Linked DNA regions of Kluyveromyces lactis. The protein of the gene in region 1 interacts with the protein of each later gene in a pairwise test. Links are inferred from orthologs where the notes say so. Each region holds a gene or a part of one and is shown in the gene's direction. Other genes may lie near its edges. The genes, in order: KLLA0_E15511g, LTE1, SST2, KLLA0_F17545g, BUD14, END3 and KLLA0_C17380g.

The links.
Region 2: the proteins of KLLA0_E15511g (region 1) and LTE1 interact in binary tests that used the Saccharomyces cerevisiae proteins (3 or more experiments, as listed by UniProt). The link is inferred for Kluyveromyces lactis from reciprocal best matches to the Saccharomyces cerevisiae genes KEL1 and LTE1.
Region 3: the proteins of KLLA0_E15511g (region 1) and SST2 interact in a two-hybrid assay, tested with the Saccharomyces cerevisiae proteins (2 studies listed by BioGRID). The link is inferred for Kluyveromyces lactis from reciprocal best matches to the Saccharomyces cerevisiae genes KEL1 and SST2.
Region 4: the proteins of KLLA0_E15511g (region 1) and KLLA0_F17545g interact in a protein complementation assay, tested with the Saccharomyces cerevisiae proteins (2 studies listed by BioGRID). The link is inferred for Kluyveromyces lactis from reciprocal best matches to the Saccharomyces cerevisiae genes KEL1 and EPO1.
Region 5: the proteins of KLLA0_E15511g (region 1) and BUD14 interact in a two-hybrid assay, tested with the Saccharomyces cerevisiae proteins (2 studies listed by BioGRID, with this or other methods). The link is inferred for Kluyveromyces lactis from reciprocal best matches to the Saccharomyces cerevisiae genes KEL1 and BUD14.
Region 6: the proteins of KLLA0_E15511g (region 1) and END3 interact in a two-hybrid assay, tested with the Saccharomyces cerevisiae proteins (2 studies listed by BioGRID). The link is inferred for Kluyveromyces lactis from reciprocal best matches to the Saccharomyces cerevisiae genes KEL1 and END3.
Region 7: the proteins of KLLA0_E15511g (region 1) and KLLA0_C17380g interact in a protein complementation assay, tested with the Saccharomyces cerevisiae proteins (2 studies listed by BioGRID). The link is inferred for Kluyveromyces lactis from reciprocal best matches to the Saccharomyces cerevisiae genes KEL1 and SPA2.

Annotation. Positions count from the first base shown.
Region 1 is NC_006041.1:1,387,436-1,391,425, forward strand, and holds KLLA0_E15511g (uncharacterized protein), read left to right. Parts: upstream 1-1,190; coding exon 1,191-3,908; downstream 3,909-3,990. Other genes in the region: TDA11 (Tda11p), read right to left, coding at 1-819.
Region 2 is NC_006037.1:362,629-366,735, reverse strand, and holds the start of LTE1 (mitotic regulator LTE1), read left to right. Parts: upstream 1-1,307; coding exon 1,308-4,107. UniProt on the Saccharomyces cerevisiae protein: GDP-GTP exchange factor for TEM1, a Ras-like protein, component of the mitotic exit network (MEN).
Region 3 is NC_006040.1:894,780-898,658, forward strand, and holds SST2 (GTPase-activating protein SST2), read left to right. Parts: upstream 1-1,231; coding exon 1,232-3,379; downstream 3,380-3,879. Other genes in the region: cyclin-dependent serine/threonine protein kinase SGV1, read left to right, coding at 1-113; GCD11 (translation initiation factor eIF2 subunit gamma), read right to left, coding at 3,517-3,879. UniProt on the Saccharomyces cerevisiae protein: Desensitization to alpha-factor pheromone. Is involved in regulating the signaling pathway for responding to mating pheromone.
Region 4 is NC_006042.1:1,609,820-1,613,853, reverse strand, and holds KLLA0_F17545g (uncharacterized protein), read left to right. Parts: upstream 1-1,234; coding exon 1,235-4,015; downstream 4,016-4,034. Other genes in the region: PKR1 (Pkr1p), read left to right, coding at 133-513.
Region 5 is NC_006039.1:388,372-392,375, forward strand, and holds BUD14 (protein phosphatase regulator BUD14), read left to right. Parts: upstream 1-1,440; coding exon 1,441-3,504; downstream 3,505-4,004. Other genes in the region: ADE1 (phosphoribosylaminoimidazolesuccinocarboxamide synthase), read right to left, coding at 1-660; KAP104 (Kap104p), read left to right, coding at 3,797-4,004. UniProt on the Saccharomyces cerevisiae protein: Important for bud site selection. Seems to be a regulatory subunit of the BUD14-GLC7 type-I phosphatase complex. The BUD14-GLC7 complex is necessary to regulate microtubule dynamics at the cortex and may function as a specific activator of the dynein complex.
Region 6 is NC_006039.1:982,694-985,759, forward strand, and holds END3 (End3p), read left to right. Parts: upstream 1-1,423; coding exon 1,424-2,566; downstream 2,567-3,066. Other genes in the region: AXL2 (Axl2p), read right to left, coding at 1-313; chaperonin-containing T-complex subunit CCT2, read right to left, coding at 2,717-3,066. UniProt on the Saccharomyces cerevisiae protein: Component of the PAN1 actin cytoskeleton-regulatory complex required for the internalization of endosomes during actin-coupled endocytosis. The complex links the site of endocytosis to the cell membrane-associated actin cytoskeleton.
Region 7 is NC_006039.1:1,523,561-1,527,515, forward strand, and holds the start of KLLA0_C17380g (uncharacterized protein), read left to right. Parts: upstream 1-1,155; coding exon 1,156-3,955. Other genes in the region: KLLA0_C17336g (MCT family MFS transporter), read left to right, coding at 1-363. UniProt on the Saccharomyces cerevisiae protein: Involved in pheromone-induced morphogenesis and efficient mating, perhaps as a cytoskeletal protein.

The DNA of each region.
Region 1 (3,990 bases):
CTTAATTTGCCTGAAAAGATCGTGAACTCGCCTTGTCCTTTCCAATATCTCTAGTTCCTTGTTCGCCAGTGATTGCAACAAAGATTCCATATCATTATCATCTTCAGAAACAGATGGCACTACTTTGGCGGTGTCGGTCGTAGTTGTAGGCAACTTCAATTTAGTAGCTGGACTTGCGCTAAATTCTGTGGTGGCTCCATCCGGGAGAAGTGATCCAATGCTACTTATGCTGGACCGCACAGATTTTTGTCCGTCATTTCGGTCAAGTTTTGATCGATATTTCCGTCCCAGCGGGGTATTCGATACAGACTCTGATGGTTTGCAATGCTGCTGATATGATTGACGTTGCTGCTGCTTAACTGTGTGCTCTGGAGACATTAATGGCATTATTAAAGACTTTCTTTTCCATGTGTTGCTTCTTCGTATTCCTAGCTCCTGATTGCCTCCCTTGCCATTTGTAGCAGCAGAAACCCCGTTACCATTGTTCTTTACGGTGACTTTACCGGACCCCAATGATACATCGTCCTCGTTCTCCTTCATATTGCCAGTGATATCGTCTTGATCTGAATTATCACCTTTCAACGGATGCGAGTCAAGTGTGCTAGTAGGATCAGCCTTGGTAGGCGTTAATTGCAACTGGATGTTCTTGTTTCTACCGGAACTCCCCACAGACTTGGGACTCATACCGCTGGATCCTTGGTTAAATGTAGGGGTAACGCTCCCTCTGTCCGTAACTTCATGATATATTTTACTCTTAGTATCAATATCGTTCTCTTTGTCTTGAAGGTCTATAAATTTCTCCAATACGTCTCTATCCATTGTTTATACCCAAACCGTACACATAAAGATCTAATTTGATTCAAGCCTAGCTTCTTACTACGGTCAGATCAGCCTTTTTACCCTTATCCTTAACTTGTACACTAAAATCAAGCCCCAAAGTTACTGATTGAAATGATAATTTCAGTCTTTCACAGAATTTCGTGTTGTTATGAAAATGAAACAGTGTAAACTTGAAGTTACCAGAAATAGTTCAGACGGCTGCAACTTTTTGCAGTGCGTAACAGCTTGAGGTTCCCAGCAGTGGCTTTATTACACCAGTTAGTGGAATCAAATACTTTGCATATCACATATCTGATTTATCACTTGCTAAGGAACTGGTATTGCGTATTTAGACGGTTACAAACACAAGAATGGCTCCATTCAAATTTGGAAAGAAACAGAAGAATCGGAAAGATGCTTCTGCATCTCCAAATACAACACCTAATTCTAACAGCACTATTGGTAACACTAGCTTTCAACAAGAATTGAGATCTCCTGGATCTAGTTCTACACCTACCAAACAGAACTATCCAAAACCAGCTGCAGATTCTGGGTTACTTGCGGCTCAACAACGCGTTATGGTCAGTCCTGTTGAGCAACGATCTACGTCCACTCAGAGTACCCTACAGCAGCAGGTGTTCACGCCATGGAATAGAATTAGACTAAAGCAGTCCCCTTTCCCCAGATATAGGCATGTTGCCAGCTCATATGCTACTGACAGTGGAGAATTGTTTGTAATCGGAGGTTTGCACGACCAATCGGTTTATGGAGATACATGGATAATCAAGTCACTGGACAACGCTACAAGTTTCAAGTCTATTACAGTTCCCATTGCAGATGCTACTCCACCTCCTAGAGTCGGTCATGCCTCCACACTGTGTGGGAACGCATTCGTGATTTTTGGTGGTGACACTCATAAAGTGAATGATGCCGGTTTGATGGACGATGACATATATTTGTTCAATATCAACTCTCACAAATGGACCATACCAACACCTCAAGGACCTAGACCACTTGGTAGATACGGTCACAAAATCAGTATAATTGCTGCGAACCAAATGAAAACCAAACTTTATGTGTTTGGTGGTCAGTTTGATGATACCTATTTTAATGATTTAGCAGAGTTTGACCTCTCATCTTTCCGGAGATCTGATTCTCACTGGGAATTTATTAAACCGGCAACTTTCATGCCACCACCCTTGGCTAACCACACGATGATCTCGTTTGATCATAAGTTGTGGGTATTTGGTGGTGATACTCCTCAAGGTTTAACTAACGAAGTCTTTATGTTTGATCCAGCTGCCAATGATTGGTGTGTAGTGCAGACTACAGGAAACATCCCACCGCCATTACAAGAGCATGCTGCTATCATATACCGCGATTTAATGTGTGTTTTTGGTGGGAAGGATGCGCAGGACAATTATTCAAACGCCGTGTATTTCTTAAACTTCAGGAGTCTAAAATGGTTCAAACTACCAACTTTTAATAATATGATTCCAAGAGCAAGATCCGGACACTCTCTCACTCTGTTATCAAATAATAAACTGCTAATCATGGGTGGTGACAAGTTTGATTATGCTGTTGGTAACAGCACCGATGTACGCACTTCTGATGTCGACATGGGAGCCGGTACCATTATTTACACTTTGGACCTAACAAACTTGAATGAGTTTTGTCCTGACATCTTTAAGATCGATGATGTTGATCACCTGGACAAATTTAGTACGCCATTATCGAAATCCAATGGAAGATTTGATGAATTGAAAAACAAACAAGCTTCAATTCTATCACCAGATGTACCAGAAACGGTGAACACAACTCCTGCAGTTAGAAAACGCTCTGAGTCCGGCGTCCTCGGACCTACTGCTCCTAAACCAAAATCACCAGTTCCACAACAAGATGCCAATACAGATCCTCCAAGAGTATTGTCCTTGCAGTCTCAGTTAAGTTCAGAGACGCAAAGTGACACTGATCCTGATGTTGGGTCTGTAGAAGTTGTTCAGTATAGAACTTCGCCGACAAAAGGTGATGTAAAAAAATACGCTGTTGGAACCAACTTGAGATCCTCATCGGACTATGAAAATTATTCACCATCTATCATGCATAACACAGGTGCTGAGCCTTCGCCTAAACCTAACTCCTTGTCAGATACGACGCACTTCGATAAATCCATAGATGTAATAACTGACGCTGATAAAAGCCCTGTCACTTTAAGTGAACCTGCTCGTATTGTTTCTGAAAAGAATGAAAACAACATTCTGAAAGAATTACTTGAAGAGTTGAAGCAATTGAAGGAGGATACTGTGACCAGTGCTACTAGTGCAAACAGCAGAATAATGGAATTGGAACTAGAAAATACAGAATTAAAGCAATTGAACCAATTAAGTCACTTGAATGACATGATTAAGCACCAAACAGAAGTAATTGCCAAGCTACAATCAGAAGTCGATAATAAGGAGAAATATGTGGATTTGGAATCAAAGTATATCGTATTATCTGAGAAATATGAGTCTCTCACGAAAGAACTCGATTCGAAGAAACAGTTCATCAATGAAAACATAAAAAAATGTAGTGAATCGTTGGACACTTTGCTCGATGGCATGAGACAGAAACAAAAAGCTCACGAAACAGTTGTAACCAGGCATAAAGAAACAATGACCGGTCTTGATCGCAAGTTAAGCGAAGTAATTCTTCAAAATAAAGAACTGACTACATCCAGGGACCAGTTGTTCACAGAATACTCCAAATTGAAGGATGAGCATGCCTCAAAACATGAAGAACTGACCAAGATGGAAAGAGAGTACAGGTCAGTTATTGACTCTGTTCACAATTCTGGGAATGCGATGGAAAAGCTGCAGAATGAAATTATCAAACTAAGACAAGAAAATTCAAGACTTAAATCGGATTTAGAGAATACGATTAACCAGGAAGCAGATGATTCGTCCGGTTCTTTGAATGATGCTCATTATCAATTAAAGATAAACGACCTTCGCGCAGAATTATTCATTATCAAACAGGAACGTGATTCGCTAAAAGACGATGTCATGACTCTCAAAAAGAAACTACTTCATTCTGAAGCAACACTATAGACTCTTAATAATATCAACCGTGTAAAATAGAATGTATTGTTTAGATATATATATTTTCAACTATTTTAATTTGTTTTATATT
Region 2 (4,107 bases), on another chromosome or scaffold:
CGCCAACAAACAAAAATCACTATGATTGGAAGTGAAGAGCGATTGAACTTTAACCTTTGTGGTTGTACTAAACTAAAACTTAAGTGTTTGATCACAGGTCCGTTATCACCCTCGAATATCATTCCCGAGATTAAGGTAACACTGTTACTCTACGAAAATGCATAAGCAGATAACAGGCGACTGCTCAAAATTCAAACCCTATCTGACACTGGAACAAGAAATAATTAGGGGAACAAACTGAAAATACGCACGCTGCTAGCAACAAACGACCATTATAACCTTAAAACACTGTTATGCAATCAACAGCGATCTCAGGGGCCGGTCAAACTACCACTCGTGCTCACATCAGCATGAAAGAAAGCATGTGCATGAAGAACTGTTCAATTCCCAAATAGGCAACTCGCTGTCCCCTCGAATCCCATATCAGGATTCCACATGAAGGTCTGAAAAACTATACCGATTACATATTTCCAACTACAACCAGGCTGTTTCTCCTTATCTTGGGCCCTGTTGTCTGAAAACGGTCTTATTATGACGGACTTTTATTGCTTGTGAGGTCCCCATTTGAAAGGAAAAAACCGGACAGTTCAGTTTAACAAGTTATCCTATTGCTGTCTCACTGTTACCTCTAAATTCTGCCCGGCAAAAAAGGTATAACCCTGCATTCATGATGGTTGCACTTCGTTTAATCATCTGTTTCTTCAAAGGGATTGATAAGATAACAACCTAAACCATTTATTCCGGAGAATGCGCGGCGGGAATTTGACAACCCAAAAAAAAAAAAATTCAAAACGAGGGAAAGAGAACCAGAAGTGAGCATGGGGAAAATATCAGTCACGTGGACAAAGATATACAATCCAGTTTCCATCCACGTGACTGGGAAATGTTTTTCATTACCCAGACTTCAACTCAAAACTTCTCGAAAGGCATTCTACAAACCTCAAATGCACCGATGATACGGCGAAATTCTGTGAAAAATGAACATAAACAATGGTGATTCTGTCATGAGAACCAAAATATCAATAATATGTTTTTTTAGTAAAGAATCGAAAGTGGGAAAGAGATTCAAGATAGACAAGGAAAAAAACAAGGGAAAAAGAGTGGAGTGAGCGTATCATTTTTTGAGGCACCCGCCTAGTGTTTGGATTAGTTTTACCAATATTTTCCTGTTTTGGTATAACGCATCGAACATTGAACCACAAGAACTGTTTATCTTTTCTTTTCACCGTTGATCTGTTTTTACAATTTGAAGAAGAAAGTACAGAAGAAGAGCCTAGTGAGGAGAGAACTCTAGTGAAGTAGAAATTATGTCTGAGGTCGTTGAAAAGGCTGACGAAAACGTTGTGCCGTTATTTAGTCGACCTGAATTGTACCCTGTGCCTAGTGAAAGTGTACTGACTGTAGATTTACGCGATGGTACAGTACGAATTCTTAAATGTACGCTTCCTGCACTTCTAGTGCAGCTCTCATCGCCGCTAGATAAAGTCGACTATTCAATGCTGACGGATTTCTTTCTAGTCTACAGAAATTTCATGAGTTCTCAGAAATTGCTGGATCTAATTCAAGAGAGATTCCAATGGGCGATTGACTTGCGTCAATCTGACCCTAGTTCCCAAGAGAAAATTACATCCGAGGTTATACTGGTACGGATGTTTGTGCTGGTAAGGCATTGGCTGTCTAACTATTTCGCACAAGATTTTGTCGTCGACACGTCGTTGCGTCGTCAATTCCTTCAATTCATCAACGGATACTCTCCAGTTGACAGGTTCCTGGACAATATTATAATTAGTTTAAAAAAATTATGGGTTCAGAACGTTCAAATTATGTGGGAGGATTTAGAAAATCTCATAGTGGAAAATAACGTTGTATCGCGCGATGATTGGCTCAAGTGGGAAATAGAGGACGTACCGTCTGGTTCTTCTTCGGAAACAGGTGAAGGAAGCACGAAGGGGAAGCGACTTAGCTTTATTGCATTACAAAATATAAACAACCCGGTACTCAGGAACGAATCCTTACTCTCGTTATTGCACACCAGAGAGAAGATACCTCTACCACAACAATCAGAAGATGAATCCAAGAAACAGAGCACACGTATCAAACAGAGAACTGGATCAATGCTTTTGTTCCCAGAAAATGCTTCCAACGGACTTTCTATTAACGAAAAACTAACGGCTTCAGGAGTCTCGCCAGAGGCCACTCCGAAACAGGAGAGAGAAATAACAGACCCCAAGAATTCGAAAGATAACAAACATATCCTACCGCAGTTGTCCAGGGTCACTAACGTTTCTTATATGATGAAAGATTTGGAATACCCTTCAACCCCTTCAGTGGACATCTTCGTCCCACCAACACCAGCGAAGAATATAGAGTTTATCTTGCAGACGTCGTACATGGAAACAGATCTTCCAGAACAATCTAATGGCTCAGATTCGACGAATACCGTAAATGGCAATAACACAAATCACAAAGGAATACTGGGTCTATTGTCTAAATGGAAATTAAATCATCAAAGAAAACCAACTGTAAATCCTGTCCAAAACCCACCAAGGGTTGAAAATCTAATAAAATATGTATTTTCCATTTCTTCATTGGACAATCATGCGAATCCATTGCCCGATTCGCTTTCTTCTATGTTTGATATTTTGAGTGCAAGAACTATTGATGAGGTAGAATATCTTGTTTCTGTGGAAAGTGATCTTTTAGCAAAATTAGAAGCTAAAAAACTAACCACTGAAATATCTAAGTTGGAAACAAATGAGGATGAATCGCAGGATTATAGTGTTATTGATAATCTTAACCTTTACAAAACTGTTTCATCAATCGCTAACTCAGTGATATCGCTATCTAAAACTTTGAATGTCAGAACAAACAAGTCAACTACCCATCTGTTATCTCCTTCAACCTCGGCCCTTGAGAGGAAAAATATAAGAAACTCTGCACCAATGCTGTACTCTTACAATAATTCTAGATACAGCATCACGAATGCCTTAATGGGACTACCTAATACCAATGACAACAGCAGTCCAAAAAGATTGGTTTTCCATGATCCGACAAGGAACTCTCCTACAAAGAAGGCCATACTTGCAAATAACCTGAACAACATAGGAGAATATAACGGTGAAAGAGACTCTATTACTTCTATTGTCACTTATGACTCTGCATTTTCAGATATTTCATCTTCTGGGAATATCTTGAGTCAACATAAAGGGAGTAGTAATATTTTCATGGAATCTGCCCCAACTTTGAAAAGAAAGCTGAATGTTAATGACCTTCGTAGGTTCAATTTCGAGAAATCTGATTCGACAGATGACAGATCCTGTTCACCACAAAATAGAGAAGCAACGGAGACGAGTGCAACTTCAATGGAAAGTGATGCAAATGATAATGCTATCCAAGATGAGTATGAAAACGAAAATGAAGATATTGCATCGTTAATAACTGCATATGAAGAAAGTACGTCTGAAATTGATACCCAATGTCAAAACAACGCCCAAATTAGAAGACCCACAAGTGGCAGAATTAGTATAACAAGAAACTACAGTGTTGCCTCTCCCAACTCTTTGAGGTCCATTCTCCCTAAATCTCCTCTCATTTTGGGCAATGAAGTTTTTATCGAAAGAGATAAAGCTTTGGCTGCAAACCAGGACATTATATCGGAATTAGAAGAGACGACATCTCTCTTACTAAATGATAATGACAGAAAGTTTACAGTCAGCCGAGGTTCAGTATGTAACGACTCGGACTCTCAAAGCATCTCCACAAATTTGCTGTTTAGTTCTGCCCAAGCTTCACCCCAAAAATTGGTAATCAAAGAAGTTGATGTCATTCAAGAGAAATCGGAGCATCCCGATGTCCCTACGCCAGTATTATGCAAACAACCTATTTCAAAGCTTTCTGAGACTCCAAGTATAAAGTCAATAGGAAGTCGTGATTCAGAAGAATCCTTTGATCTCACGTCGATTGCTAGTAAACCAAATCGCGCACAATCCACAACTCTGAGAGAGAAATATCATCTAGAAAAACAGGCAACTAATGACATTTTCGAGGAAGACGTTGAAAACTTGAATCCAGAGAATAACAAATACCTGTTTTCCCCAGACACTGATA
Region 3 (3,879 bases), on another chromosome or scaffold:
CTTCTGAAAATCCAGGGACCATTGGCCATGGTAGCTCACAATCTACGCAAAAAGATTCCAAGTCATCGCATTCCAACAATGTCAAACCAAAAGACGTTGCAGACTACTATTGATTAAATTTAAATTGGGCTTGAAACTATGCTGGTACTTTTCTACTTTTTAAACCCAACTTGACATGTTTTTTCCCCAAAGTGGCCTGCTGCTTCGAGATTGTTAAATAGTATATAGATAGTTTACGAGGGAAAGTGCGTTTGTTTCTCTTCATGTATCCCAGAAATTCATCCATTAAAGTGCTAACCAGATTATGATATGTGGTCTGTGAATGATATCATTACGTATAAAAGGGAAATTATGGCTGATGAAGATTTTTTGCTGGTATAAATTCATTGTTGATGTATCCAGATTTGGAAACCAAATCAAAATTACGCACGTCAATAATCACCAAGCAGCAACTTAAATATACTGATAAACAATTTAAACATGGTCATTAAGTTATGCACTTTCCAGCAGAATTGAACCCTGGGGTAATTTCTTTGTTGGCGGTGCATCACAGAAATTCCTCGAACGTTTCAACTGATGCTCGATGTGTTTGCTATAAACAATTCCAACAAGCAAATAGGTACCGATTTGCACAAATAATTAAAAGAAGGCAAACAGTGCCTCATTTTCACACTGTGTTTGAGTATCGATTAGAATGTCGGTATAATAATTCCACCGATCTTATCATAGCTTTATTGTTTCATTTTCCTATTTCTTGGACATTTTGAGGTTTGTACCGGAACTTTGCATGTTTCATGTCAATATTGCCCAAAAAACACGCTGGAAGGGAAAAAGGAAAATGATTTGATCACAAACAATTCAACATTGTTTCAAAAGATCCGTTACTGGGTGAACCAGGATATAACCACGCCGTGATAATCTGAAACAAGCCATTAAGATCATCAACATTTGCCTTTATATATAGAGCACCAGGAATGCTTTGAGCCGTTCGATACAAATGTTAGCAACCCTACTTCTCGAGAGGTGATACTTGCAGTTGGTATTTATGTGGATTGTACGTTACTGCAAAACCAAGAACTGACAACTTCGAATTTATTCAGACGTAAAGACTGTTGGCTTCGCTTCACGAATTAAAGGGGGGTTTAGCTGTATTTATACCAGGAGGTATATGCATGTTGTACTGTCGCGCTCTTTGTTATTTTTGATTTACTTCTTCTTATGAATAGATAATATGGTCTCGGAGTCAAATAAAAAGGAAAAAACGCTGCATGAATTGTTTTCTAATAGCTTCGACCGCTCACCCGATGGCTCAATATTAACTCATGAACTGAAAACAGTATTTTCTATTATGATAATATGTCTTCCGCTGGAGGAAAAACCAAGATCAAGTAGCAATCGACTCTTGAATTTCGCTAAGAAAAGTTTTCCGTTCACATTTTCAATTACGGAGGCTATTGATCTACTACAGGAGCTGGAGCTTAATGTGGAAATGAATTCCACTAGTATCTACATCAGTTATTCCATCAAACCAGAACTGGGATACCAGCTATTGAACACTTTTATGAAAGCTAAATTACTACATACACCTGCGGATAAGACAAGAAGTCGGCCAAAAGAGAACATTCTTTTGCAGCCGACTCCTAAAGGGGTGGCCGTAACGTGTGATTATGCCAGGAAGTTTGCATTGAAAGAGCTGCCTCCAATATTAACTTCAAACTTCAATACGATGAATCTTTTCAAGTTCGAGCGAAATACGTTAGATGATTCTGTCATTCAAAGCGAATACTTCATAAATCTATTGTTCAACAAGGTCATGGGTCCAAAACCTAATATATGGTCCCCAAAAAATCCAACAGATAAAATTCCTAAGCTCTCTGACTTATTGGATCAAAGAAGCTCAGATGTTTTCTCATTTGAAAATGTGTCACCAGACTTCGCCGTAAACGAGCTTGGTGAAAACCCTAAAAATAATGTTTCAGGAAATTCACAGTCTCAACATACTGAAAACAATCTACATTCGTTAAACTCTCGACAACTTGAAGATGAGGACAGAGAATCTCCGTTTGCATATAGATTTTTTTCAAATCCAGATTCTGACTCTCACATTCAATATTATGTGAGTGATTGTGGGCTTCGATTGTTCGGGAACAAAACTTTTGGAAAAGGAATGTTTATTGACTACTGTTTCACCACAAAAGCCCTTTGGCAATGGTTGATGGAATGTACTGATATAATGTACCCTAAAGAATGTGTTGCAGTTGCAGCACTCTTTCTGAAATACGGCCTAATTACACCAATCTTATTACCTCCCAGTCAAAACAGCAAGAAAAAGTTTCTAATTTCAAAAACAGCACACTATACATTGACCCAAGCCGGTTGGGACGTAATTCAATGGGGAGTAGATGGGCTACCCAAGATTCCGCATTTCATGGACGGGGTTAAAATCGGAACGGATACTGAGAATTATGGCGGCGTTAATTGCAGCGTAAAACTCTCCAGTCGTTCACTCCCAGGTAATTCTCAGCTCAAAAGCGGACATGATTTTGGAACCAAAAATGTAATGGTGTCGAACTATGATGTAAGCTCGGATTCAAGTTCGAGCTCAGGTACTGGGGACGATAATTATAATCCTGACGGTTTAAAGTTGCTGTCTCTCAAACAAATTCTGGCTGATCCTGGGATGCGATATCTTTTTAGAGAGCATCTTTGCAAAGACATGTGTGCAGAAAACCTAGACGTATACTTTGAAATAACGAAGTTTTTAAAAAGAATGTCGGTTCTGCGAAAACTCATTGAGTCTCGAAACCAGAGCGAACACAATAAGATGGATCTAAGGGAATGGAAAACTGGTGGTAGTACTAAACTGAAAGATACAATTCAATCAGCTCTTTTAAAACAAACTAGCGAATGCCTTTCGCTGGTTTACCATATTTACTCCTCTTATATTGCACTGGGGTCTCCGTATCAACTTAATATTGATCATAACGTTAGAGAAACAATTACTGGAATAATATTCCACCCTCAGTCTCCAACTAAAACTGCGTTCGACACTTCAGGCAAGGAAAATTGTTCAAGAGCCATTTCGGATGCATCTGTTAATAGACCCTTAAGCCTCGATCCTGCTGCCCGGAAGAAATGCGTGGAGCATAAAGTACAATCCCATAGTAACACGTCAATGCCATTGGCGCCGACACCTCTTAATAAGGGTACTGAGTCATACGTCATTATTCATGCTATATCAATGTTGAAGGATTTGTATCAGTTACTGGAAAAAATCAGAAATACCGTATTTATCATGATGAAGAACGACTCTTTGCCCAAATTCCTGGCAACAGAATCGTATAGGGACGCAATTTCATTAATAACTGCTAACAAGTAGAACCTAGGCATTTCATCATGAAGAATAAAGATATTCATCTTGCAAAAGAATGTGGCCTTTTCTACCAAGAAAATGGAACATTAATGTGACAATATATACATATAGACATATATAAAATCATTTAGTTAATTTACAGATTAAGCGATTGGTTCAAGAGTGGTACCCTTCTTGATAGTAGCCCAACCAATTAAACGCCAATGCTTTTCGATACGTCTAGATAATGCAATCTTTTCATTAACTTCTGTACATGCAGGGGAAGTTAATTGTAATCTTGCCATATCGGCTTTGACGGCAACCACACGGGCACCAGTAGCGGTGGAACCGATGTTCACCATTAAAACTTCATTTGGCTCTAACTTTCTAACCTTTGCTTGTTTTTGACCATCGGTCTTTACACCTAATAGACGACGCAATAGGAAGTAGTTAATTTCGATATCGGTGTAGATAGATGGCAAATGGCCCTTAGCACCAACGACTTGACCCACTAGACGATCTGCTCT
Region 4 (4,034 bases), on another chromosome or scaffold:
CTTGTTCACTTGCATTCTGGCTATACCTTGCTGATTTCTACTCCAGGCTCATCATCGATTTCTAGTACAGCATATTATAATCCTCCGTTGCCAACCACTATAAAAAACGAAATTCACCTGAGACACTCAAGAATGACTAACTTTGTTGTTGCACTGTGGGAAAGCATTTTCCAACCAGGAACATCGCCTCAATTGATCATTGCTACTCATATCTCGTTTGCACTATTGCTTTGCGTGTTGGGATCGCAGATCTATTTAACCAAAAATATCCATTTCATCGCATTAACGATTATCGCCACTCTACTATGGATCACCGTGACGTGGTTCATCTACGAATTACAAAACACAAAGCTTGTTACCAACGAAGATCTACAAACAGCTGAATCTAAAAAGACTGATAAGACTGAGCCTTCCAAGCCCTCTGAAGAGATAAATCTAGAGGGTGTTGCGAAACCTGATCCTAAACCATCATCTACACCTAAAAAAAGGAAAACAAAATCAAGAAGAGCTTAAGCTGGTGATAAACCATTCTCTCACCTGAGCAACTTTCTGATTAGACTACATTGGACAGTAAGTAAAATCATTTTTAAACGCAATAACCACTGCATAGACTTGTAACATTTGGGAACCATATAAAATTTAATTCAAATACAAAGGTTGCAGAAGCCATTATTTCGTCAGATTACTACGATCTATTATATACAACGTTGTGTAAAGGCACATCCTAAATAGCTGCCTTCCGTTTCCTTTTTCACTCTTCGTTATTGTTTCATGCATAATCCATACATTTCATGTTCGCTCGGAACTTCTATGGCATTCAGATTTCGTTTTGAGAAAAAAAAAAAAATATGAACGGAAAGTAAATGAATCTTAGGTCTGTTCAAACAATTTAGGAATCAGTTTGAGTTTTGGACTTAGTCACTATTAATAGGTTGTATTTCCTTTTATCTATTCTCTTTCTAGTACAGTCATTTAGCCTAGGTTCTGGCAGAATTTATAATCCAGAGGAACCAATCCACAGTACGAGTGTAATTGACTTATTCCCTACCGATTTTGGAACGCTTCTTTGGTACATCAGGACTTTTGATAACAACTTAGAGGTAAGTCCTTAGATTGTTTGTTTGTCATTGTTAAAGGAACTTTTCTATACGTAAGTGCAGCTCATTTTACAACTAGCCATCTTTTCGTTTCTTGTAGGTTGTGCTTTATTTCTAACCTTTTCTGATCGTGGAATATGGATGCCGGTGTTACTGCGCTTGATCAACGACGTGGAGCGGGCATGTCTTCCAAGGCCCAGCTGCGGAACCAGTTACTTCACAGCGATATAGGGAATATTGATATTACTAAGGAGCAGCAGATAAACAAGCAGAAGGGAAATACAGGCCCCATGGCCCCACCTGTAGTTCCGTTACAAGCCCAGCAGTACGAGTCCAATTACAACCCTTCGTCATATAATTACATGCAACAGCCTCGACAACAATCTCTGCAGATGCAACCAAGACCACATTTTGATTACCCAGGAGACAGTAGTAGGAAATCATCCATGAGTTCTTCTACTGCTTCCTTCTCTAATTTCTTCAAGGGTAAATACAAGAAACTCAATCAAAAGAGACACAGTCAATATGACGAAAAAGCTAATGAGGATGACGATAATACAGACTTTTCGGATCATGATTCCTCTTTCCTTACATTCAATGATATTTCTTCCATGAGAAACAATGGTGGGCACGCATACGGTTACGGTGGACATCTAGATGATACCTCTCCAATAATACCGACCATCGTGACTTCCGGAAACACAAACTCAATGAACAATATAGAATATAGAAAACTTATGATGAATCAAAAGAAAATGGCATTTAACAGTCTTGCGAAGCAGCAGCAGCAGCAAGCGCAGTTCAGTGCCTCAGTTCCAGGTGGTCCTAGAACAATGTCCTTGCAAAATTATCATCAACGTCCTATGGTAAGGCCTGGTGTTTCTGGCCCGGGAACAATGATGGGTCCAGCAGGCCCTCAGCAATCAAGAATCCCTAGGCCTCCAAACGGTAGCAGATTCAACTCTTTGATGGGAGGGGGGGCTTCGCCGATGGCTGGTAGACCAGGGTATCCTCCCCAACAAGGTCCTCCAAATGACCCACGCACAATGTCGTTAACTGCTGACAGACGTCCACCAACTCAAATGAACGGAAATTCACAGTTTAGAAACGGTTATCAAGGTCCGTATGCCGCGTCACCAACAGGATCCCGTAACATGGGTTTTCCTGGTCAAGTTAATGGACCAGTGCCGGCAAGAGGTCCACCTGTTACTGGTAGCTCCCAATATGGTCCAAACTCTGGTCCAAGAGCCATGTCCCTGCAAACTCAATCGTATCCGCAACCATTTTATCAACCAAAACAAAATGTATCGCAGGATAATGTATTCAATGAAAGACAAGCAACAAGCTCATTAGCCCCTCCGCCACAACCACAGCAGCTGGTGAATAAGGCGGCATCGGGCTCATCCTCTTCATATGCCAGTGTGAATAGCGTCATTTCTGGTAGGGTTTCTGAACAAAGTTCTCCGACAACTCCCTCGAACGCATCATTCGATGAACAAAATCAGATACCATCACTGCCAAGATCACCGGTGAAATACCAACTACATGCCACTTTGTCGAATGATAATGAGGACTTTGAAAAAGACAAGGCTCTTCCTAGCTTTAACGAGGAAGAAGAAGATCAACAAACCTACAGCGGGAATAAGGATCATTCACATAGCGATGAGCAATATGATTCTGATTCATTGGTGAAATTGAATATATTAACGTTAAGTGAACCCGCAAGACAAGTGTTGCAGATCGAGGAGGAAAAAACGGAAAAGGAATACGACCTAGTGGATTCCTCGGAAACGAAAAGCAACCAGCAAGATTCTTTGAATGATGACATAAATCTCAGGCCATCCACCGCCTTGATACAAAATATTCCCGTGGATCTATCACCAATATTAAATCCTGAAATCTCGGACAACTCTTCCAGTCGAAACTTTGGCGACAACGTCAATAGAACTGAATCAATTGTATCAAAAGCCCATGCGGCGGTCGACAGTGGGAATAGTAATACTAACGAAGTACTACAATCAAAACATGATTCCTATATCGCATGTTCTGGTGAAAAAGGCTTGAAGAAATCAGGCAGCAGTTTCCAGAAAGCGAAGAACTTTTTGATGAAGATCAAAAGGACGAAGAGTGGCGATCAAAGACCGCTCACTACTGTACCTTCGTCCGCTAGAAGCAGCAGGAGTTCGATGGCAGTAGATGAAGGATCCGAAATCCAGTTAAATGATACTTTCAGGGCGAAATCGGGTGCATCCAGCGATAAACGTAGAATATCATATCATTCTCTTTTTTCCGCGTCATCTGCTGGTAATCACCACGACCAATATAGTAATAAGGAAAAGACATTTGACAGATCAACTTTGCAAATTCGTAAGTCGATGATTATTGGTGAAAGCACAGAGATACAGGAAGTGCCTTGTCTTGAGAAAGAATATGTAAAACAGAAGGCTGAACCTATTTCCGCGTTGCCATATAAGCCATCTTTTGCTTCTGAAAAGGATCCCAAACAACCCCTGTTGATCACTGAAGAGTATTTGAATATTTTGAAACAAAATATGATGTTGATGCAAGAGCTACAATTGGTTTCCACGGAATTAGCCGAGTCTATCGCAAGGGAAGGTAGATTAGAAAGTGAATTAGAATCAAAGAATCCGAAGGAACCAGAGTCACCTCAGGCTCTTTCTCTACTGGATTTCGAAACGGAATTAAGGAAAAAATCGTCAAAGATTGTTGAGTTGATTCAAAATTTGAACGAAGAAAGGCTCAAACGTTTCATTGCAGAAGAACAGAATTTATTATACCAACATGGTATAAAGCCATCTCCTAACGAACTCGCCCTTCAAATAAATGAGCTGAAGACGCAACTGCAGTCCAAAGATCTACTGATAGAACAGTTGCAGAAGCAAGTACATGATTCTTGAAGCAAAATGAAAAGAATCC
Region 5 (4,004 bases), on another chromosome or scaffold:
CTTTGTGTCAGCGATGATTATACCTCTTGATTTGGCAAAGTCTTTACATTTTGTGTACAATTTTATAGCCAACTTCTCGATTCTGTCACATAAGTCTTGACCGACCAATCGAGCTGCCTGTTCCGGAGAAATATTTTCGTCGTGCTCACCTTGTTCTGCTTTAGTAGAAGGAGTGAAGATAGGAGATGGGAATTCCTGAGATTCCAGTAAACCTTCTGGCTGTGGTAAACCATGGACAGTACCGGTCTTCTTGTATTCTTTCCAGGCAGATCCTGTGATAAATCCACGAACGATGACTTCTAATGGGATTAATTTGTGTTTTTGAACCAACAAAGATCTTCCCTCCAATTGAACTTTGTACTTAGATTCTGAAAGCTTTGCAGGTAATTTGTCAAAGATGGTTTCACCTGGACCTAATGGTTTCAAATGGTTGCGGACATCTTCCTTCAAGAAATCAAACCAAAATTCGGACAACTTGGTCAACAAGATACCCTTTTCTGGAATTGCATTCTTCATGATGACATCGTACGCAGAAATACGGTCAGTAGCGACGAACAACAAAGTTTGATCATCGACTTGGTAAATGTCTCTAACTTTACCTCTAGCCACTAATGGTAGGATACCGTCCAAGTTGGTTTGAGTGATGCTTGTCGTGTTCATGATGATCCCTTTTTTTCTTTTCAATTTCAATCTCCGCAGTAGTAATAGTCGGAAGCGAGTGAGTAATAGTACGTGAATCAGCTAATGCTTAGATGTGATAGTTCTCTAACATCTATCAAATATTAAGTGAAAAAGTGATTATACCGCTTTGCAACCACCTAATTTGCACACGTACTTACAAAGCTGGCTCATCTCATTATATACATCGCATTTCAATTTTTTATTTCTCATGTCTCGAGGGAAAGTAATATCGAAATATATCGAGATATGTCAAGTCAAAAATCATCATTTAAACACGTGACTGATATATTCCACGTAATGCTAAAATAGTAATCCGGGTAATGAAATATATTTCGGTTTCTCTTTCGCATCAGTTCCTTTTTCGCATAGCGAAGTTTCTGACATTCACAGCCGTTAGTCTTTAGTGATATACATTTAGAGATACAGATATGGTGGAATTAGTGAGAATGAACATGAAACGAGACAGAGAGGGAAAGGTGTATAGCGTACAGTAAAGGTCGTTCGACTTATCGAAGCTAGCACCTATACAAAAGGCGCAACAAACCATTTTAGAAGGGTTTTCAGGGGGATTTTCCGCTCTGGATAAAGCACTAAGAGGCTTGAAACAGCTTTTAATTCTCTTGTTTTTGGTGCAACATTTTCCACTGAGGTTTCAGAGATATATTTATACACGCGTTACTTGGAGAAAAGTATTATCAGCTTCCATCTCTGAATCCTATCTGTGCATTAACTGCTATTATACCACTCGAGTTGTATCGTATGATGGATTTGGAGTATCCTAAGATGTCAGGACTCGCAGGTCTGGGCTCTGGCTTAAGATCACGGGAACGATCAAAACCTGATCTATCGATATTAACTGATCCTACACTGGTTGAGGATTTCGATGAAATCATGAAACAGATGCGAAGCCTCAAGAAGGACGAGGAATCCCTGAGTGTCAATGCTAGTGTTGTGATAACGCCGACTGAAGCACATGCTAATGACGTAAATCGTCAAAAAGTTGACTATGAAGGTGTCCCGGATCTCGGTGATTTACAGTTGGAAGATGAGGAGGAAGAAGAAGAAGGAGAAGAAGAGTTAGCACAGGATATCGATAATGAGCATGATACCAGTTTCAGTTCGCGACATGGGAACGAGCTGCAGGATTCAGATTATGCATATTCAGATTCGGATTTTGAAGATAATTTGGAGGAGCGGTTAAGAAGTTTAGAGACTTCTTCTCAAAGAAACAGCGGAGAACATGTTTCTTCTGTGAAAGGGATAGTTGCAAACGATACATCGAGTGCTATTGATAATAACATGGTGGCAGATCGTGCGAAAGAAGCAAGAAACGGATTGGAGCAGAGATCATATGACGATATTGATGATGACGATGATGAGGCAGAAGAACAAGATGACAACGACGAAGAGGACTTGAATATAGGTTGGAACACTAATGAATCTGATGATTCTGATGAGCTGCAGCCGTTAAATCCGCCGCAAGAATTAGACCCCAGCAAATTATATGCATTATACCCGTTCCAGGGACCTGATCCATCACATTGCCAGTTGGAACAGGACGAAGGTTGTACTCTTTTGAATGACCAGGACTCTTATTGGTGGTTAGTTAAACGTTGCAGTGATGGGAAAATAGGATTCGCGCCTGCAGAACTTCTTGAAACGTTTCCTGAAAGGTTAGCTAGACTGAACTGTTGGAAAAACGAAAATATATCATCACATTCAATTTCTCATAAAGAGGATTCAAATTCAAGCAAAGAATCGAATATTTTGAACAAAGAAGATAGTATTGAGGCAGTTGAGTCCCCGTTGAACGCATACTCAAAAACTAATAAATCGGTTAGCTTCAATAATGTTGTCAGTTATGCTGAAAGATATATTGATGAAATAGAGCAAGAACCATTGGAGGACGACAGCGGAGAACTGAATGGTGCAGGAGAATACGTTCATGATGTGGAATCAAGAGACGGGCAAGACGGGCATCTACACCTGGGAACAGATCTTGGAACTCACTTAACACATGTCGATGAAATACATGAAACCCTTCTGAATGATCATTTGTCAGATGATGTAAGCGAAGTTGTAAGTGATGCTGCCTTCAATGTCCATGAAATGGCACCATTAATGGTGCAAAAAAATAGACCTTCAAAACCTGCCTTGACGGATCTGTTGTCAGAGAAACAAAATGATCTAAAACAAGTCTTTCAAGCTCCCACTATGCCAGTAGCAGCACCAAGAGGTACTTCCCAAATGACAAATTCAAATTCAAATTGTTCCATATCTACAATCGGAGAATACTCGCCTTCCTCTTCAGACTGGACAAATGATTCACCTCAGTTGCTAAGTGAAAAGGAATTCGAGAAGTCTAATTTGAATGATCAAATCCCATCTTCCAGAGCTATTCAAGATATATCGAAAATTGTAAGCTCGCAAGATGCGCCTGATTTGAACTCTCTTCATGATGAAGATTCTCTGCAACATAGTGAATCATTGCCAAAAGTAACTCATAATCACCAGCATTCGATATCTACACTGAATGCTGTAGATATCAACAGTTCTGTCGGGACAGAAAAAACTATTGATATTGATGAAGAAAATAGTATCTTACCAGATGAAAATACAAACGCTTACAGCACCGTTCCATCCTCTATAGCCTCAAGTTGCATGGACCATGAACACAACTCTCCATTAATTTCTGAAGTAGCATTGCATACAAGCACTGGTGTAGTAGGGGATTATCATCCAGTGATTAACTCCTTGTACAACCCTATTTTCAGCAAAATAGATGTTATGATGGACAAGATAGAAAACGCCATCTCAAACTGATATTACCTCCATTCAACGCATTATGTAGCTAACTTTTATAGAGACATAACCCAACAACAGCAATCACTATTGCTTCAGTAATCTGTCTGTGCTCATCTCCTGTTTCAGTACCGAAAGAATAACACACGTGACCGCAGTACTGCATTAGACTTTAAAATTTTTTTTTGGTTTGTTAGCTCATCGCAGAGATATCAAATTCACTAAAAACATTTGAGCAGGAGGAAGCACGGATATTGCTGATAAGGAAGTGGTCAGTACCGTGGAGACTCCATAAACAACCTTGAATCCCAGTATGCCATGGTCACCAGATAACGAAGGACTAACTCAACTTTGTTTGACATTACAACATGCTGTTTCAACTAATTCTGATGAGAGACAGCAAGCACTCGATGCATTGGAAACATTCAAATTAGAACCACAGTTTGCCAATTATTTATGTTACATTTTACTTCATCTTGAGGAAATGGATCAGTTAAGAGGTACTGCAGGTATTCTTTTGA
Region 6 (3,066 bases), on another chromosome or scaffold:
CTTTAAGTATGATGTCGAAATATTTCGTATCTTCGTTATCATCAAGGAAGTCGGAAGAGACCTTACCTGAAAAAGTCAAAGAACTACTATCGAATGAAAGCCAATTTGGCAATTCAGAAGATTCATATGATATTTGAACGGATCCTTCGTTAGTTGATTTAAAGGTGTCATTAGAGATTTTAAACTGGAAATCCTCGTCAACTCTTGCAATTGGTGGAAGCTGTTTGTTAATAGGATAAGCTTCGTATACAGAAGCTGATGCGACGGCAAAGAGAAGTGACAGCGCCGAAGACAACAGCAACTCAGTCTTCATAACCCTAAACCCTGTATAATGAACTAATTTCCGTTCGTGTAATTTCTCTTATTCCAAATTAAAAACTAAAGTCCAGTTGAACAACTATGAGTAAACTTAGTTCCAATTTTCCTTGTATGCGTTTCTTGAGCTCTTAATTCTCTCTCTGCTATTGCTTTCAGATGAAGGCTGTCAAGGAGTGAATGAATGGATCAATGAACAACGTAGCGATCGGACAGTTAGTGCTGCTCCTTCTATCTCAAAAGTTAATGGATAGTATAACGTAAAAGCGTTACTGGATTGCAGAACCGTTAAGATGAGGAAGAAACGAATGGGCCCTGAGAATACATCTTGTTTTATTTAAGGCGGGAGCCCTCATCTCGTGAAATATATGAATATTAATTGAAAGACACCAAAAATATCACAGTTGCAAGACAGGAAAAACCATTATTATATTTTGGTATTACTTCTCAGTAAACTAACGGGCCAGTTGGAAACAATCGAAATCCTCTACAACCCTGTCTTAGCTTTTTTCATCTCACATTCTACTTCTGGTCCCCCAAATTCTCACCTACCTCAAAGTTCTGAAGATTCACTTATAATTCTTCTTTTGGCATCCTTAAAACATTTCGCGATTTCTCTAAATGTGTTACCAAAATAGGATATAACGCGAACACCGGGTAAACCAGTAGCATCCACCAAAAAGATATAAAAAAAACAGATACAAATTCTTGTCACGTGAGGGGTTGTTTGACTATTATTCAAGGTCACGTGTGTTACGTATAACGTGACTTCCCCTTTTTGTAATGTAGGTCAATGGAATTTTGATTTTCTTTCAGCACTGAAATGGGTGATATTACTGTTAAGATCAATACGATGAACTATCCAAAAGGTTTAAATTGCAATTTATTGAAGTAGATAAGGTTCCAAACGATTCAAACCGAAGAACACGCTAGAGCGATAGCAGGTATAACATATTCTTGTTTTATTTGTTCCTGTCTCTTTGACTGATTGTGAGTAACGCAGGCATACTTCAAAGAAAACATTACGTTTGAGCTCAGTGTTAATTTGATATCTGACCTCTATTTTAATCGCGCTTGACTCCACAGATAATTCAAATACCAATTTAAGATGCCAAAGCTTGAACAATTTGAGATCAAAAAGTATTGGCAAATTTTCTCCGGATTGAAACCGGTGGAAAATAAGTTGACCCATGATCAAGTACTGCCTATCCTTTTCAATTCTAAATTGGACACCTCGATACTTAACAAAATATGGTTTTTGGCCGATATCGATGATGATGATCAACTAGATTTTGAAGAGTTTGTGATTTGTATGAGAATGATATTTGACATGGTTAATAAAAACATAGATTCTGTACCAGATGAATTGCCAGATTGGTTGATTCCCGGTTCAAAAGCCGAATTAGTCAAACAAAGAAAAACTGAACGTAGTAGCGGAACAGCAGAAACAAGTTCTGTGGTCAATGTTCCGACATCTTCGCCAGCTGTAGACGATTATCAAAAAGAAGTTGATTGGTATATATCAAGAGATGATAAGTCACAATACGAATCAATTTATGAATCAGCCATAACCTCTAGAGACAATAGTGTATCTTATGTTTCACTATCCTCCGCCGTTAGATCGAAGTATATCAATCTATCATCTCAAGATTTAGAAAAAACGTGGCGTTTGGTTAATCCTAAGCTTGACACTTCCATAGATAAGGATCCAGCACTATACTTTATTCATATTCTGAGACAAGTGAACGACTATGCTTGCCCAATACCATCACATTTACCTTCAGCATTGAAAGAAACTTTTACAAAGACTAGAGTTTCCACGGATTTGTCTTCCAAGCAGAGCGAAGTAAGAAGGCCAACACTATCCACATCTAACTCTTCATCTTACCAAATACCAAAACGTGGTGGTACTGATTTTTCTGTTACTCAGGGAACTGATTGGGAAGTAGTCAGACTTCAAAGGGAATTGGCAAATATTGACTCTGAATTATCGTCAGCACAGCAACAATCCACCTCTCATAATGACTCAAATGATAGAATGAAATTAGTAAAACAACAGTTAGAACAGTTCTTGGAATACCAAAAAAACCTTGTCAATAATTCCAATACTTCTTCAGAAAGCGTTGATGTTGGAGGTTTGAGGGATGATATAGAGAGTATTGAGCAGCAAGTACAAATGTTGGAGGAGTACCTGAAAACAAAGAAGTCGGAACTGCATAATTTGAAGATAGAGGTGCAATCTCTTTACTGAGGTTATTGACCTACCCTATATACTTTCTGGAGTAAATTTTGAACTACGTTGTTTCATGTATAATGATAATTCACTTCTTAGCTTAACTTTTTGGATATTAGAACGAAATTTAAACGTTTGTGGTGATTGCTTAGTACTAATTTAATTAATTTACATATGACCGTGCTGTCTATCGGCTGTTCTTGGTTTAGCCCTGATAATATTATCCACTCTCAAGAGGACTTCGGCTGCTTCGCTGGCTGAGGTTACTACAGCTCTTTTCAATTTATAACTTTCCACGATCCCTAGTTCTCTCATGTCAGCAATGGTGCCGTTATCCAAATCCAAACCTGATGTACTCATGCCGTTGTAAATCGAAGATCTTAACTTTGTGATCAATTCACTACTATCGAAACCAGCGTTGTCCGCAAGAATAGTAGGCAATTGTCTTAGGGCTTTTGCAAAAGATTCTACAGCAAGTGCTTTCTTACCTTCAACATTTTGCCCTACTGTGTCAACAG
Region 7 (3,955 bases), on another chromosome or scaffold:
TGGCCATTACAAACAAGTATCATTTCCAGAATCGGTGGTCTTAACAAGTTACCAGCCATTTATTCTTTCACCTGGCCTTGTATCGGCATGATGTCCATTGTTTCCCCAATCATTGGTCTAAGACTACGTAGTAACGATCCAACAGTTGCCAACCAATACGTGAATACAGCCATTTTCTCCGGTATGGGATATTTCGGAGCTGCATTTTTCCTATGGATGATTCGTGGGTATCTAATAGCTCGTGACAAGCTCGCCATGGTTGCAAAGACAGGTCACGACGATGGTGAATTGCATTTACACGTCACGATTCCGGAACTCTTGAAAGGTCTACTGACAATCGGACGACTACCAAGAAAAGTTTGATGTATATAATAGAAAAAGATATACTAAAACAAAACCTAATAATATGCATGTATATTCTAGTATAATTCAATGCTATACTATAATTGCTCACACTCATTGTTGCAATGCTTTCGTAAGTGCGATGCTTAGCATACATTTTGCCCAAATCACCAAGGTATTGGTATCCGAAGAGTTGTATTTCCAACAGAAATCGCTGCTTTAGCTCAGTTGGGAGAGCGTATGACTGAAGTTCATAAGGTCCTGTGTTCGATCCACAGAAGCAGCATTTCTTTTTTATTTTTTTTATCGATTCTCTTTTCTTCTCATCACGTGAAAGAAAACGCCAAACTTTCAATAAAATTACGCGTTATCACGAAGAACGAGGTGTAGTAAGAACGCTTTTTTTCTTTTGGCTGAAAAAACGATGAGTTCTTAGGTATGGAAATTGAAATATTGGAATTAGAATCTTGTTTCAATTCGAATTAAACAGTGGATTAACTCTTCTTCATGAAAGAAAGTCAATTGTATAGAATCAAGTATTCATCATTACGAAATAAGTGCGAGTTGTTGTGAATCAGCGGTAGCGGTTTGGTAAAGACGATACAAGTCTTAAAAGGAGAAGGCCGTCAATTATTTAAACTTGGGAAAGTATCGAATTGAGTTATTTACAGACACACTGGTTTCTTCGATTTCACTTCCCTTTTTTGACCATTATACTTGAAACGAGTGTCCTCAGTGACAATTGCAATTGACATTAATACGTGTTCTTAATTGACCATTGTTTGATAATTTGTTTTCATTTTACCGTTCCAAATGAAAGAGGGTGCTAAGGAACTGAAATATGCACAAAAAGTGCAGATCCATAATTATTATGTTGCTTTAAAACAATTCTTTGAGGTTACCGGTGGTAGCCATGATAGATCAATGACATCGCGTGCTCAGAAAGCACGTTCAAAGCTGTTAAAACTTTCTTCGTCACAGTTTTTCGAGTTGAGTACTGACGTCAGCGACGAATTGCAAAGACGAATTGATGAATCACAGCCACAACATGACTATTTAGTTCCTAATGAAAGTTTCCATGCAAAGAGGAACCAGGCAAGACAAAAATTGGCGAACTTATCCAATGCGAGATTTAATGATTTGGTCGATGATATTCTTTTCGAAATCAGAAGACGTGGGTTTGACACGTTACCTGAACCAGAAGAAGCAGATTATCAGGAATTCCCAAATGCTGATACTGATGAAGATTTTAATTCGAATGACAAGGCAGAGGTCTCCTCTCCTGCATTACACGTACTTGATTCTAAGCCATCGCCAATTGTACCTAGCAGTATAAATAATACGTCGGTGGAAAAATTACCAGAAGATGAGAATTCTGCACTTAATGCAACTTTGCAGACTTCTACAGTCATTCCAAAGACAGCATCAATCGACTGGAGTTCAGATGAAGAGGATCACAAACCAGAAGCTGATGAGAAGGAATTAGCTAGTGAAGACAATGACGTTATTAAGATAGATAGAGCGTTTTCACTAAATCAGTCCCCGGTCATTATTCCAGATGAAACACAAAGCCCACCTCAACCTACAGCTTCCTCACCTGTGGGAAATAGAAGTCCGATTTCCATAGATGACCATTTCACGTTCTCAGAGAGACCGTTATCACAATCCAGTGAGGCTAGAACTCCATTGGCTCAAACTGCTGCCACTACAGCAATGGCTGCAAGTGCTGGGTTGTCGCCTTTCACCAGTAATAAAAATAAAATGGGATCCTTGTCTCAATCGGTAGAACGTAACAAAGATCGTGATATAGAGCTATTAGTTCTGGAAGGGAATAAGTTGGACAGTACCATTACAACTTTGGAGAGAGAAAAATCAGAACTTTTGAATCAATTAGATGAATTGAAGACCAATAATCAACGATTAACAGAAGAAGTTCAGCAATTGAAACAGAATGCCGACCAATCAAGTACTACTAAAGCTCTAGATAGTAATTTCCAAAAGGGAATGTCCGAAATGACTACTCAACTAAATCAACTGTCAATAGAAAACGAAGAACTCAAACAAGAAAAACTAGAACTTCAGCTGCAATTGAAAAATATACAGTCTCCAGTTAAATCGATTGACGGTAAATCAGGGAAGGATGCTGCCTATTGGAAATCAAAGTATGAAGACGCTTTTGCTGAAAAACCTGTCAGAACAAGCTCTTCTTCTATGGCCCCCATTTCAAACAAGCAACTTTTCCCTGAAACTAGTATAATACCGTCAAATCTCATCGACGACTTGGATTCCAAGTTATCACAAATACTAAGCCTCATTGTGTCACCTGAACCTCCAGTTTTGTTTTTATTCGAGAACATTGCTTCCATTTCAGAATATTGTTCAAAAATTTTAACTTTAGTTCACTCCCCAGATACAAAGACCATGAGACTAGTGTTAGAGAACACAATATCACATGCTATCACATCTGTGCGTTACTTCAGCAGCTATAAAACTCCATTATCAAGAGTTATTCTTGAAAATTCTGTTTCAGAAATCTCATTTGCAATCTATGATTTGGTTAAGACGGTAAATGGCGGATCCAATAACGATGAAATATTCACATCAAATAAATCTGGTGATCAACTGGATAGTCCACTTGGCCTCTCCATGCAAAATAGACAAACCTCGAATAACTTTGCTAAAGGTTTACACGAGGGAAGTGTTTTAGACAAACCATCACTTCTTCCTTCTCGGGCTGATAGCGTTGAAATGTCTCCGGTCAAACCTTTGAAAATTACCCAGAAAAAAAATACCGACGACGCGTCATCAAGGCCTGTTTCAGTTAGAAAGCCCTCTGGAACTGGCTTATTTACAGCAATGCTTAATGGGGGTATGAAGAAAGATAACGCATCAAAGAAATCCAAGAATATATTGCAGTTAGAATTACCTCTGGATAACAATTCCAAATCGGAAAGCAATGCTCCTATAATCGAACGCAGAGAATTGAAGACCATTGATGCAATTAAGTCTGCTTCAGCCAGCAATTCACTTCTACCTACTTCGCCACTTGCCAAAAAATCATCAGCAGTTGTTCCTTCTGACTTTAAAGACCCAAATCCTTTTGAGTTATCATCTCCAGAAAAGGGAAAGCTATTGCAAAATATTAATTCTGACATATACAACAGCAATGATGAAGAAACTGAAAGCGAAAGTGTAGAGGAGGAGGACGATGGGAATTCTACATATGAAGTGTTAAGACAAACCATGAAGCAAAAGCATCTACAAGAAGAAAACGGAACCAACGAAGAAAAAAATTTGAAAGGAATTTTTTCGCCAGTGGTACATCCACAACCTATTGAAGTTTCAACAGAGGATGTCGACTTAAATGAGAAGTCATTCAATTTTGAATCTGAAGAAAATGCTAAATCTGAATCTGAATCTGTACCTTCGATAACTGTAAACAAAAAGAATATAAAACTCGTTCCTATCCCTGCCGTTACTCCAACTTTGAAACAAAAAGAGCCATCCCCATCACCTACTGCCGAATTGGTTATTTCTCCATTAAGGCCTATAGTAACTGCTTCTGATAATTCAAAAGTTAATGACGATCAGAAGGCCGTCGATGCCAACAAAA